2 separate regions of the Mus musculus genome follow, and region 2 is reported to be linked to region 1. The links are microRNA targets in miRTarBase. Many come from high-throughput screens and were not tested one by one. Region 1 holds a microRNA gene; the other region holds the end of a gene's coding sequence.
The links. Region 1 holds the annotated microRNA mmu-miR-350-3p (UUCACAAAGCCCAUACACUUUC, at 2,235-2,256, opposite strand). A microRNA usually pairs through its seed, bases 2 to 8, with sites in the 3' UTR of a target mRNA and lowers its output. Matches are read on the target gene's strand: a 7mer-m8 pairs with bases 2 to 8, a 7mer-A1 pairs with bases 2 to 7 and ends in A, and an 8mer does both.

Region 2: the mRNA of Ube2j2 is a reported target of mmu-miR-350-3p. Seed matches in the 3' UTR shown: 7mer-A1 at 2,631-2,637.

The regions. Positions count from the first base shown.
Region 1 is chr1:176,770,108-176,775,491 of GRCm38, forward strand. Mir350 (microRNA 350) reads right to left here and starts at 2,316; the gene lies at 2,218-2,316. It overlaps Cep170 (centrosomal protein 170), which reads right to left. Exons shown (of 20, transcript NM_001099637.2): 8 at 4,327-4,803.
Region 2 is chr4:155,956,336-155,961,719 of GRCm38, reverse strand. It overlaps Ube2j2 (ubiquitin-conjugating enzyme E2J 2), which reads right to left. Exons shown (of 8, transcript NM_021402.6): 7 at 5,272-5,352; 8 at 2,116-4,639. The coding sequence ends at 4,355. Among named protein-coding and RNA genes, the nearest start is that of C1qtnf12, 3.3 kb to the left of the region's middle.

The sequences.
Region 1 (5,384 bases):
TCTCAACTTTATAAAAGATTCCTCAATCCCTTAAAAGAATAAGCGATGTTCCATCACCTGTCATAGTTTGTACTTCTAACATTAATACACATTCGCTCTGCCTCTCAATCGTAAACCTTTGGTACTAAACAAACAAAAAAAAGACCAGACTCCAAGGTTTCAACCCTACACAAAGAACTACAGGCAACTAAGGGATGCCAAGAGTGGGGGAAACAGTCGTCCCCAAGGAAGAACACACCAACTGATTATCCAATATCAAATGGTCAGCCCTGCCTGAAAACATCAGAAAAGCAAGATTATATAGACACAGTAGATTGTTTAGAAATTATGTATGTAAGAACAATTAATGAAAAAAGTGAGCAATAATTTGAAAAAGAGTGAGAAGAGGTTTATGGGAGGGTTTGTACAGAGGAAAGGAAATGGGAAAGTAAAATGATTATAATCGCAACAAATAAAAGGAATCATTTAAAAGACTGGTGTAACCGAAACACTATTTAACACAATATGAATGTCATTAAAATGGAGTATATCTAAATTATGATATTCAATAATTTTAAAAGTTCAACACACCTTTCAATAAAAAGACTGAAATTTGTAGCTACTATTAGTAACAACCAATGTTTACAAATGTTTTCTTAGAACTCTAGTGGCTTCAAAGAGTTAAATGATGCTGACATCCTACCAACTACAAAGACTTCTACTATACCCTTCCTTCTAATAAACTACATGGTACAGATATAGGTAGATACCATGTCCAATATTATACTAGCCTCCCAATAAAGGTTTTTCTAGATCAGAGCAAGAGTTACTCTAGGCATGTGTGGTGGTTTGAATATGTTTGACCAAAGGAGTGGCATCATTAGGGGGTATGGCCTTGTTGGAGGAGGTGTGGCCATGTTGGAGGAAGTCTGTCACTGTGCTGGTGGGCTTTGAGAACCTACTCTAACCATGTGGGAGCCCGTTTTCTAGCTGCCTTCAGATGAAGATGTAGAACTCTCAGCTCCTCCTGCACCATGCCTGCCTGGATGCTGCCATACTCTTGCCTTGATGATAATGCACTAAACCTCGGAACCTGTAAGCCAGCTCCAATTAAATGTTCTTTTAAGAGTTGCCTTGGTCATGGTGTCTGTTCATAGCAGTAGAACCCTAAGACAGCATGATTTAGATGGATCACCAATCAAGGATTAACAAAAATCTTTTCAAAGTTATAAATGAATCTAGTATATTAGAATGTACATTGACAGAATCCAATCTTGTAGAAATAATCTGACTTTGAAACATTCCCACGCTGTCTACTCTAAAGTAAACATCTGTCAACAAGAGAGCAATCAGAAAGAAAAGGCTTGCTGTGTATGAAAGAATGAGATGTATGTCTAGGGGAAAGGATTTATAACGTGTATGGGTTTGTTCCTAGTAAATCTGGAAGCTCCCAATAACAGTGAAATATAACACAAGAGAACTACCTGTAAAATGTAGTACATAAAAGAAATGAGGACAGACAAGGGAATGGTAGAACTGAATGACATCTTGAAAAAGGAGGAGAAACGGAGGGCACTACTATGGTAAAGATAAGGCAGATTCAAAGTGACAGATTAACATAAAAATCAAATGAGATGAATGTAAAAATTCTTCAAATTATTTACTATCCAAAAAGTACTATGAAAAGAAAAAAAAACCCAACAATGTGCTTAATTAGTGGAATCTCCAACACTGATAATTTAGGAATCATGAGTAGTATATGGAAAACAAACAGAGATGTAACTACTAGTTTAGACACACATTTTATTATAGTACTGTTTAAAACATACTGGGTTGGATAAACTGAATAGGAATTCAGTTTGTTAAGGTCCAAAAGAATAAACACTAATAGTTTCTATACTGTTAGACCTGTAAGTAAGACTGTAAATTTACTTCAGAATTTTTAATGAAAACACAAGTTTCATTGTTACTAATCTGTTGGAGATTAGTCATTTTCTTTCTTATAAAGCTATTAGTCCTTCTAGTGCTTCTGTGTATTACCCAAGGGGAAAAGTTGAGGCATGATTAGATCAGAGTTGTAATCTTATGTTTCTATTCAGTAAAAAGACCACGCAGAAATGCTCAGCATACTTCTTAACCCCTCTGCTGATCTCTAACTATCCTAAATACAGACATTCACTTGCTATCCCTCAGGTTAGCTTGGCTGTACTTTGTGAGAAGTTGGTATAAAGCAAGCTGCAACTCTCCTAAAGGGTGAAAGTGTATGGGCTTTGTGAACATTATTTTCCTCACTGTCCCAAAGCGCATGCACTTTACTCTTGTAGGAGCAAGGCATCTATCTATCTATCTATCTATCTATCTATCTATCTATCTATCTATCTATCTATCTATCTATATCTCATATCAATTGATTTTCACAGTTGCTCAAAGTCCAAGTTTTAATAAATTGTTACTAACTACTATCTACCTCCGTTATTCAAAATCTGAATGTATCCGTTTTATAAACTAATGGGAAACTTATTTATTGATAACAGCTCTGAATTTTGAAGAAAGTTAATGTCATTTGTAAATAAGTATGAAGAAATAAATAGCATGGCTCTATTTGGGATACAAAGTGAGTTATTGCTGGGAAAAATTTTTTTTGGATGGCTTTCAAAATAGGCTAATGTCAAGTATGAAAGAATAATTCAAGGTCAATAGTGATTAGACTAATTTTTGGCAAAATTTAAAAATATATTCTGATCAGTATAAAGACAGTGTTCATATGGGTATTAATGATTCTACTTCTAATTTGGCTCAAATAGGTCCTGGTGAAGAGCAGAGAATATACTAAAATGATGGCTTAAGGATAATTGTTAATACAGAAAACATTTAACAATTACACTGCTATAAAAGGATTTTCAGTATTTCTCTAAGTATTATTTTATTTTATGCCTATGAGTGTTTTGCCTTCAAGCATGTAAGTTTACCCTGTGAGTGCCTGATACCTGAAGAAGTCACAAGAGGACACTGGATCCCCTCTTTATGGATGGTGTGGAGCCAACATATGGATGCTGAAAATTAAACCTGGGTCCTAACTGCTAAGCTACCTCTCCAGCTCCTTAACAAAGATATTTTGATGGAATCTTGCCAAAGGATCTTTTTAATTCATCCTTCATCTATGCAGTAAGTGTATGGGTTTTAAGAAGACTCATTTTCAAGGCATATACTACCTCTGATATACTACTAGCTTATCACTATTTTTCATCAAATTTACATTAGCAGTCATTTTACATGTTATCTTTAACCTTTGCATGCGTATGATTCAACTATGATATAACTAACATGTAGGAGGAGTAAATATATCACAATCAGAATTCAATTATCTTTCTGCTAGGTAACTGCTGATCACTATAATTAAAGCCAGAGTCAGTCCTGTCATTAACAATGAAGCCATTAGATAATAGCCTATGCTGAAGTCCCAGATGCAGGGTTAAGGAATACAGTAGGCTATATATGTTCCCTGACCCCAAAAAGCAGTTTTTAGAATAGAATTAATCATCTCCCCATAAAAGCCACAGAACTGTCAAATTCACAATCATTTGTTCAAAGCAATTCCCTTATTGATAGCATATTAAAATACAAAACAAAATAACACAAATTCCAAAAGAAATTCAATTCACAAAACCAGTGGGAAGAAAGCTGATTAGTTGTTACAATCAATATACATGCAATGACTGTAACTAAGTGTTGAATAAAGTATATGTAATAGCTAATATTACTATATAATATGATTAATTTCTGCAAATGAACATCAAATTGCAGTTGACAGCACAAACTTTGTGTTAGAATTGTAGATACCTAGTGAATGTATCTCAGCTGAAAGCGTCTGTGTGTGAGGAGCTTCTGCACACAGCTGACAGTGTGAAGCACTCACTCCAGCGCAATCTGACTTTCTGGTGTAAGCAGGTAAGTAGCTTAATTTTGTTTTCAAAACCTAGAAATGGTGCTATATTGGAAGCATGATAGAGAGAAAAAGAACTGTACATATCTTTTCTTTAAATCAAGAAAATGATGGGGATTATTTTCAGGAAAATTCTGCTTTGTATAATTAATAGATTTTTATTTCTGCAGGTAAAGAGATTAAATGACATAAGTAACCTGCCATCCCCAAACCAATGTGGTTTTGGCAAGAAAACAAAGAAAAGCTAATATGAATGAGAAATCTGGACATAAACAGTGCTGTTTGCTCTTGAGCTTTAAAATTAAACGTAAATTTTGAAAAAGATATTTTCCAGTGTATAATTAAGTAACAGTAGTCTGTCTGGTAACTTATGATACAATAGGAATCTCTGAAGATCACTTTACCTTTCAACCTTTTCAAGTACACAGGAACATCACTTTTAATGCTCTTGGAATCCTCCTCTGTTCTTTCCCACACCATTTGAGGAGGGTTGTTTTGGGCTAGCCAGTCAGCTACTTTATTTTCTGGTGCCATCATTCCTGTCTGAATTCCTGGCAAGTCTTGAGTTCCTGGAGAGGCCTTCTTTGACTTGTGGCGCTGGTCAGAAGTGAATTTTGTCACATGGTCTCTAATAGTTACTTTTCCTGGCGTACTGTCATCAAATTCAATGGTAAATGAAGCATGCCCTGCACCTGCTGTATGGGAACTTGGTGTGTCTTTTGTTGGAATCTCATGAATAGTGCTCTCTGCTATTTGTGATGGCTGCTGGAATTCTTTTGTAGGAATTTCAAAATAACTTGGCTCCCTACAGAAGGGAAAAAGTGCTTCTTCACTTGCAGCCGCAGACTGTCCCTCCACGTGCTTGGCCTCTGTGCTGCACCCTAATGAGGAAAAGGAGAGAGAATTCAAAATATTTGGAAGCCTGAAGCATGAGGGTCATTGGTAATGACCATTACTATTCTGAGAATCAGAAGGCAGATTAACAGCCTGGATGAAAAGAATTGCACTCGTATGTTAGACAGATGTAACAGACAAGGAACGGTCTTGACTATGATCAGGAGATGCAAGGTGAACAGCAGCAATGCCAAAAAAAAGCAAAGCAGGAAAACTCAAGGTGAGAAAGAATTAAAGTATGGATGGAGATGCTCTGTACATATACACACACTGTTTGATAGAAAAAGCATGAATAGCCTCAACACGTCACCGAATGGGCTATTTGAAACATTTGTGAATAATGTAGGGCTCTAATAGTGAAGAGGTAGTCAGGTGAAGATGGAGATATGAAATTAATACATAAGCGATGCTTTGGAATTAACAATTCCACTTACCAGTCTCAATTATAATGTTCAGAGCCCACTCTAGGACAAAACTGATATTATGGAAGCTTGGGAGATGACACACATTATTAGGTGAAAGTGGTTAGTGATAAAACGTGTGGCTTGCTTGCAGCAATGGCCATCTA
Region 2 (5,384 bases), not on the chromosome of region 1:
CACTTCAAGGGGGAACTGGTCCCTGTACATCTCTGACCAATACAATTCCCCCCCCACACCCCCCCAGTCCTCGTGAGTGACAGTGTCAGGTCCCCAGAGAAAGGCCCTTCAAGATCAAAGTTGGGCTAGCTAAGGACAAGCCAAGCCAATGAGTACCTTGAGCTCAGTGATTACGAGGTAGTGGCCCTTGAGACTGGTCCAGGATTCCCAGTAGCCAGATAGCCTCCAACTGGTAAAAGCCGTGGCTACAAACAGCCAGGTGTGGTTCCAACTGCTCTATGAAGGGACTGGAGCTGCATCCCTAACACACGCTGGTTGGTCCCAGTAGGTATGGGTCCTGGTAAACAGAACGCAATGTTCTACAATAGTGGCCCTCAATTCTCACTCCAAAAAAGAGTGAAAGGTGACCAAGCAAGCCGTCCCAGCTCCAGGCCACACCCAGTCAGAGAAGCCTAACAAATCAAGCAGGGATAGAGCAGAACGTAAAGGGAAGTACCGTGCGTGCGTGCGTGTGTGTATCCATGTGTTATATATGCCAAGAAAGACAGCCTCTATGCCCCAAGTTCAAGTCTCAGGTTCGGGGAGGGCAAGTGCCTCAGCCCAGAGACCTCTTCAAAGATGCAGCACCCTGTTCCTTTGGTCCACTTATACCTCGGTGGCCTATCTGGAAGTGGGATTCCGCAGCTGTCTTTCAGGCAGTTTATAAGCAGGTAGGCTAGACTTACCCTGTCACAGAAATACCACAGTAGGCAGGGACCTCATGTTGTGGCTAGGGATGGACTCAAGTTTCCAGTTTTCCAGCTTCAATATCTCCCTGCCACAAACAACTTGGAAAATAACCAAGAGGATCCTACACTGGATCACAAATACCCTGACCAAAGTGGCCCCTAGGAGCATCTGCTATTGGCTCTCATCCAAGCCCTGGAGAAAACAGGAACCGGTGGCTCACTATAGATGCAAAGGCTACTCCGGCCTAAAATAATAGCACCTAGGAGGCAGACAGAGAATTAAAGTCCAGCCTGAGTTACATGAGGCCCTGTTTAAAAAAAAAAAAAATTCCTGAGAGAGCTTGACACCTTGACAGCACACCTGAAAGCTCTAGAACAAAAAGAAGCAAACACCAAGTGGAGAAGAGGCAGGAAACAATCAAACTCAGGGCTGTAATCAACCAAATAGAAACAAAAAGAACTGCACAAAGAATCAACAAAACCAGGAGCTGGTTCTTTGAGAAAATCAACAAGACAGATAAACCCTTAGCCAGACTAACCAGAGGGCACAAAGACAGTATCCAAACTAATAAAATCAGAAATGAAAAGGGACACATAACAATGAACTATATCTTAAAATAATTGTTTGTTGAAAATATTAAAATCATGTTCTACAAACAAAATGGAAATATTACTGATAATTTTTCTCACTGTGCTTGAAATTAGCATTTTCTTAATGTTTAACTTCGAAGAGTTTTCACTATTTTGAAATTTTAAAAATATACTTACTGATAAAATAATCTCTCCTAGAAACACTGATATTCTTTTTTAAGTAAACTTATAGTTAAGACAATGTACACAGATATATAAGGCATTTTTAATACTCTCTTACTATGCCAGGTGGTATAAGGGCTTTTGAATATATCTCTTAATGATTCAATTTTAATATTTTATGCTCTAATACTATGCTTAATTCCCAAAGAATATTTTGTATGTTTTGAAACAATTTAGTATTCAATATTAAATATAGGATCCTCAGTTATGGATAGTATTAAATGTTCATTAATGATATTTTTAGGATGAAAGGATATGAAAGTTGAACAAAATTTTTTATGTATTATTTGACTCTCAAAATACCCATTAATGTTTGATTATTAAATGCATTGAAATAAAAAATTTAAGGAAAAAAACTCCCAAAGACTATCTGAGAGCTCTTTTTCTCAGGGAAGAACAGAAGTGGCCAAGTGGGAAAGTTCCCTTCCAAGGTACCCCTTTCTTTGAATAACAACAGAATGTGAGCTTTAGGAGAGGTTTTCACCTCCTAAGGAAGAGCTAATAGAGGGCAGTCCTGGATGCCAACTGCCCCAGTCAGTGACCTCTCCCAAGACAAGTCAACAAGGCAGGCATGCTTGAGCCAATGGTTAAAAAGGCCACCTTTTATTCGGGGGTCAGAGCACGGAACACACAGTGGACACTCTAGGGTCCTGTAGCACTCAAAGCTGGGAGAAGTGTTGGGGCTAACCTGCCAAGCCGGCACAGCACTCTTCAGTCGTACACTAAGTGCGACACCTTGTGGCCAGAGAGCAGGCTGCTTTTTACTTCTACCCTAAGAACAAGCACTTCCTAAAATTTTCTTTCCTTCTGAGCTGTTAAGAGTTTGGTCCTGTGAAGGCTTGATGCCCCAGTGAAGGGCAGTAGGGTGGTGGGGCAGGACTGGGTGGGGGAGCACCCTCATGGAGGCAGGAGGATGGGATGGGGGTTCTTTGGAGAGAAAACCGGGAAGGGGGATAACAATTGAAATGTAAATAAACAAAATAACCAATTAAAAATTTTAAAAAAGGGCTGGTGAGATGGCTCAGTGGTTAAGAGTACTGACTGCTCTTCCAGAGGTCCTGAGTTCAAATCCCAGCAACCACATGGTGGTTCACAACCATCTGACACCCTCTTCTGAAGTGTCTGAAGACAGCTAGTGTACTTACATATAATAAAATAAATAAATCTTAAAAATTTTTTAAAATCAAAGTTGAGCTTTCAGTTGGGCAATGGAGGCCCACACCTTGAATCCTAGCTCTTGGGAGGCAAAGGCACGTGGATCTGAGATGAAGGACAGCTTGATTTATAGAGTGAGTTCTAGGACAGCTGGGGACACACAGAGAAACCCTGTCTTGAAATCCCTAAACTCCCATAAAGGCCATGCTGGGGCCAGGGGGCTGGGGGTGGTGCTGAGATTTCAGAGGACTAAATTCGATAATGTTCTGTCTTTCAAGAACTTCAGGAAACACCAATTTGGAATTGAGGTAATTTGCAACGGAGCACTCTGGGACCAGGGAAAAATTACCATCTACCAATAGTAGGAAGCACATGTCTGTAGGGCTCCACCCACCGAAGGCTGCACAGGTTGCACAGGCCCAACCAAGGGTTGTCAATCTACCTTTTGGCAGCTGCAACATTCCCTTCTCACAAGCCAGGCATTGCACTTGGTCACAGCCTACCAGGGAAGGGACATTAACACAGACATCGTGGAGTTCAGAGCAAAGGGGTAACTAAAGACCGTTTTAGGAGAGGACTACATGGTATATACATACTAGTTGTAAACCACAGAGCTGAATTACAGGTAATCATCACATGGGAGCACTTCAGCTTTACCATGGCCCCTGAAAGGAGGTGGGCTTAGAAGGCTTTTAGGAGCCCCTGGTGATGATTGATGCCCAACACAGACGATGTTAGCCTTCCCAAACAACTACTGCAGGTACATTAAGCAAAATCTCAAAGAGATGACATCCATAAGGGAGCTTGCCAGCTTACTGGTGGCCTGGTGACGTGTTCTGGGCAGTTTCCCTCTCCATGATCTGTAGAGAGCGACATCTTACATAGGTCACCCGGAAAGGATGGTGTAGCCTACCGTAAGATATGAAAGAACTTGGAGTGCACTGTCTGCCAACATAGGAGGGCCGGCTTCTGGCCAACTGGACATAAGGAACCAGGGTTACCAAGGCTCCTACTTCTCCATCACTCAAGGGAGCTGAAAGCAGAGGTACTAAGGTTGACAGCAGTACCTGGGCTACCCACAGTCCTTCACCACAGTCCTCAGCCACGGTTCTAAGTGCAGCACTTTGTGGTCAGAGAGCAAGCTGCTGCTTCTACCTTAACAGAAAGCAGAACCGGCACTTTGTGTGAGTCTTCTCTCACTCAGAAGCAATTTTACAATGAGATCAAATCAGTCCTCTCCTAGACCAGCCGGCCCACTTAGCCCCACCAGGAGGCTTTCAGCTCCTCCACTAAGAACACACACAGAGTATTTGATAGGCATTAAAGTTTTATATTTTAAGTGACCAAATCTAATAAAATGAAAAACAAAACAAAACAAAACCAACAAAACAGGTTTACTAAACAGGGTCAAAAGACAACACAGGAGATAAGCAGTAAAACCAGAGCGCGAGTGGCTCCGTCCAGTCAACCTCAAGAGGGAGTTGAGAACCACCAGTCTCCTCCAGATCACATTTTGGTTTTTGCTTTCTCTTTAAGGTTTGTAAAAAGTGAAGCCCGGGAGTCCGGCAGGCCACCCTGTGCCAGCACGTCCTTCACGCCGGCATCAAGCTCTGGCCCTGTGTCCCTCGGCAGCAACTGTAGGCTGTGGCTTGTGACCCTCACTCCTGTGCTATGCTTCTCAGCACGTACTTGACCGTGTAGGCGAAGGCTGCAAACCCAACTATAACAAACAAGTTCGCCAACGCGCCGCCCAGGAGTCCGTGATGCCTGTTGGCCTGTGGGAGCCCAGCGAGGTTGGGGCCAGCAGCGGGTGCGTGCCCATTGAGGAGCTGGATCCCATGCTGGCCACGGTGCAGCTCCCCATCAGGAACCACGTCTGGCAAAGGAAGATTCTGGGGCCTGTTACTTAGTTCATCTTGTGCTTTCTGTTTCTGTTTAATTTCCTGAGAGAAAAACAAAAAAACCCTCAGTTGTCTTAACCTGTCCATTTGGGAGCAGAACTCAAGTTTTTACAAGCTCAGATCTACCACCCAGAACACAGTTCCCCATGCCTCTGCATGAGCATAGCTTTGCATCCCATTTTACAGGTAAAGAAAGCAAGCAAGGTGTCAACATCATTCCTCTGTGCCCGAGTCGAGTAACGAGCTACCAAAAGCTACACCACCTTCCAGCCCACAGTACATGCCCAGCCCTTGCAGGAGGCAACTGATGCACCCCCTGGCTACTGGTGGCAGATCTCTTGAGGGATGGCCACTGATCAGCAAGCATGCCTCTGTGTGGACACTTGTGTATGTTCCTCAGAGTCTCTCCCACATCCCTAAGCTGTCTTTCCCGCACTATAGGGTCCTGGAGAAGAGCTAGCTCTGTCACCCAATAGTGTGTGCATCTGGAAGCATGACCAGTACTGAGCCTTCTACATCCTCCAGCAACAAGGAGGGCCTGCAATCCCACTACAACACCTACAGGAACACAGCAGTAAGCACACAAACACAGCTTCTCTTTGGAAACAATTATATCTGAAAGTGTTTTTAACATAAAGGAAGACAAAACTAAGTTCCCACTTTTGCCTTCTTACCTCCACAACTTCAGGAAATAATTCACAAAAGACTTTATCTTTTAAATTAAACACTAGACTCTGTGCTGCCAGCTGTTTTTTCTAGGAAGAAAGAGAAGGGAATTATCAGCCAA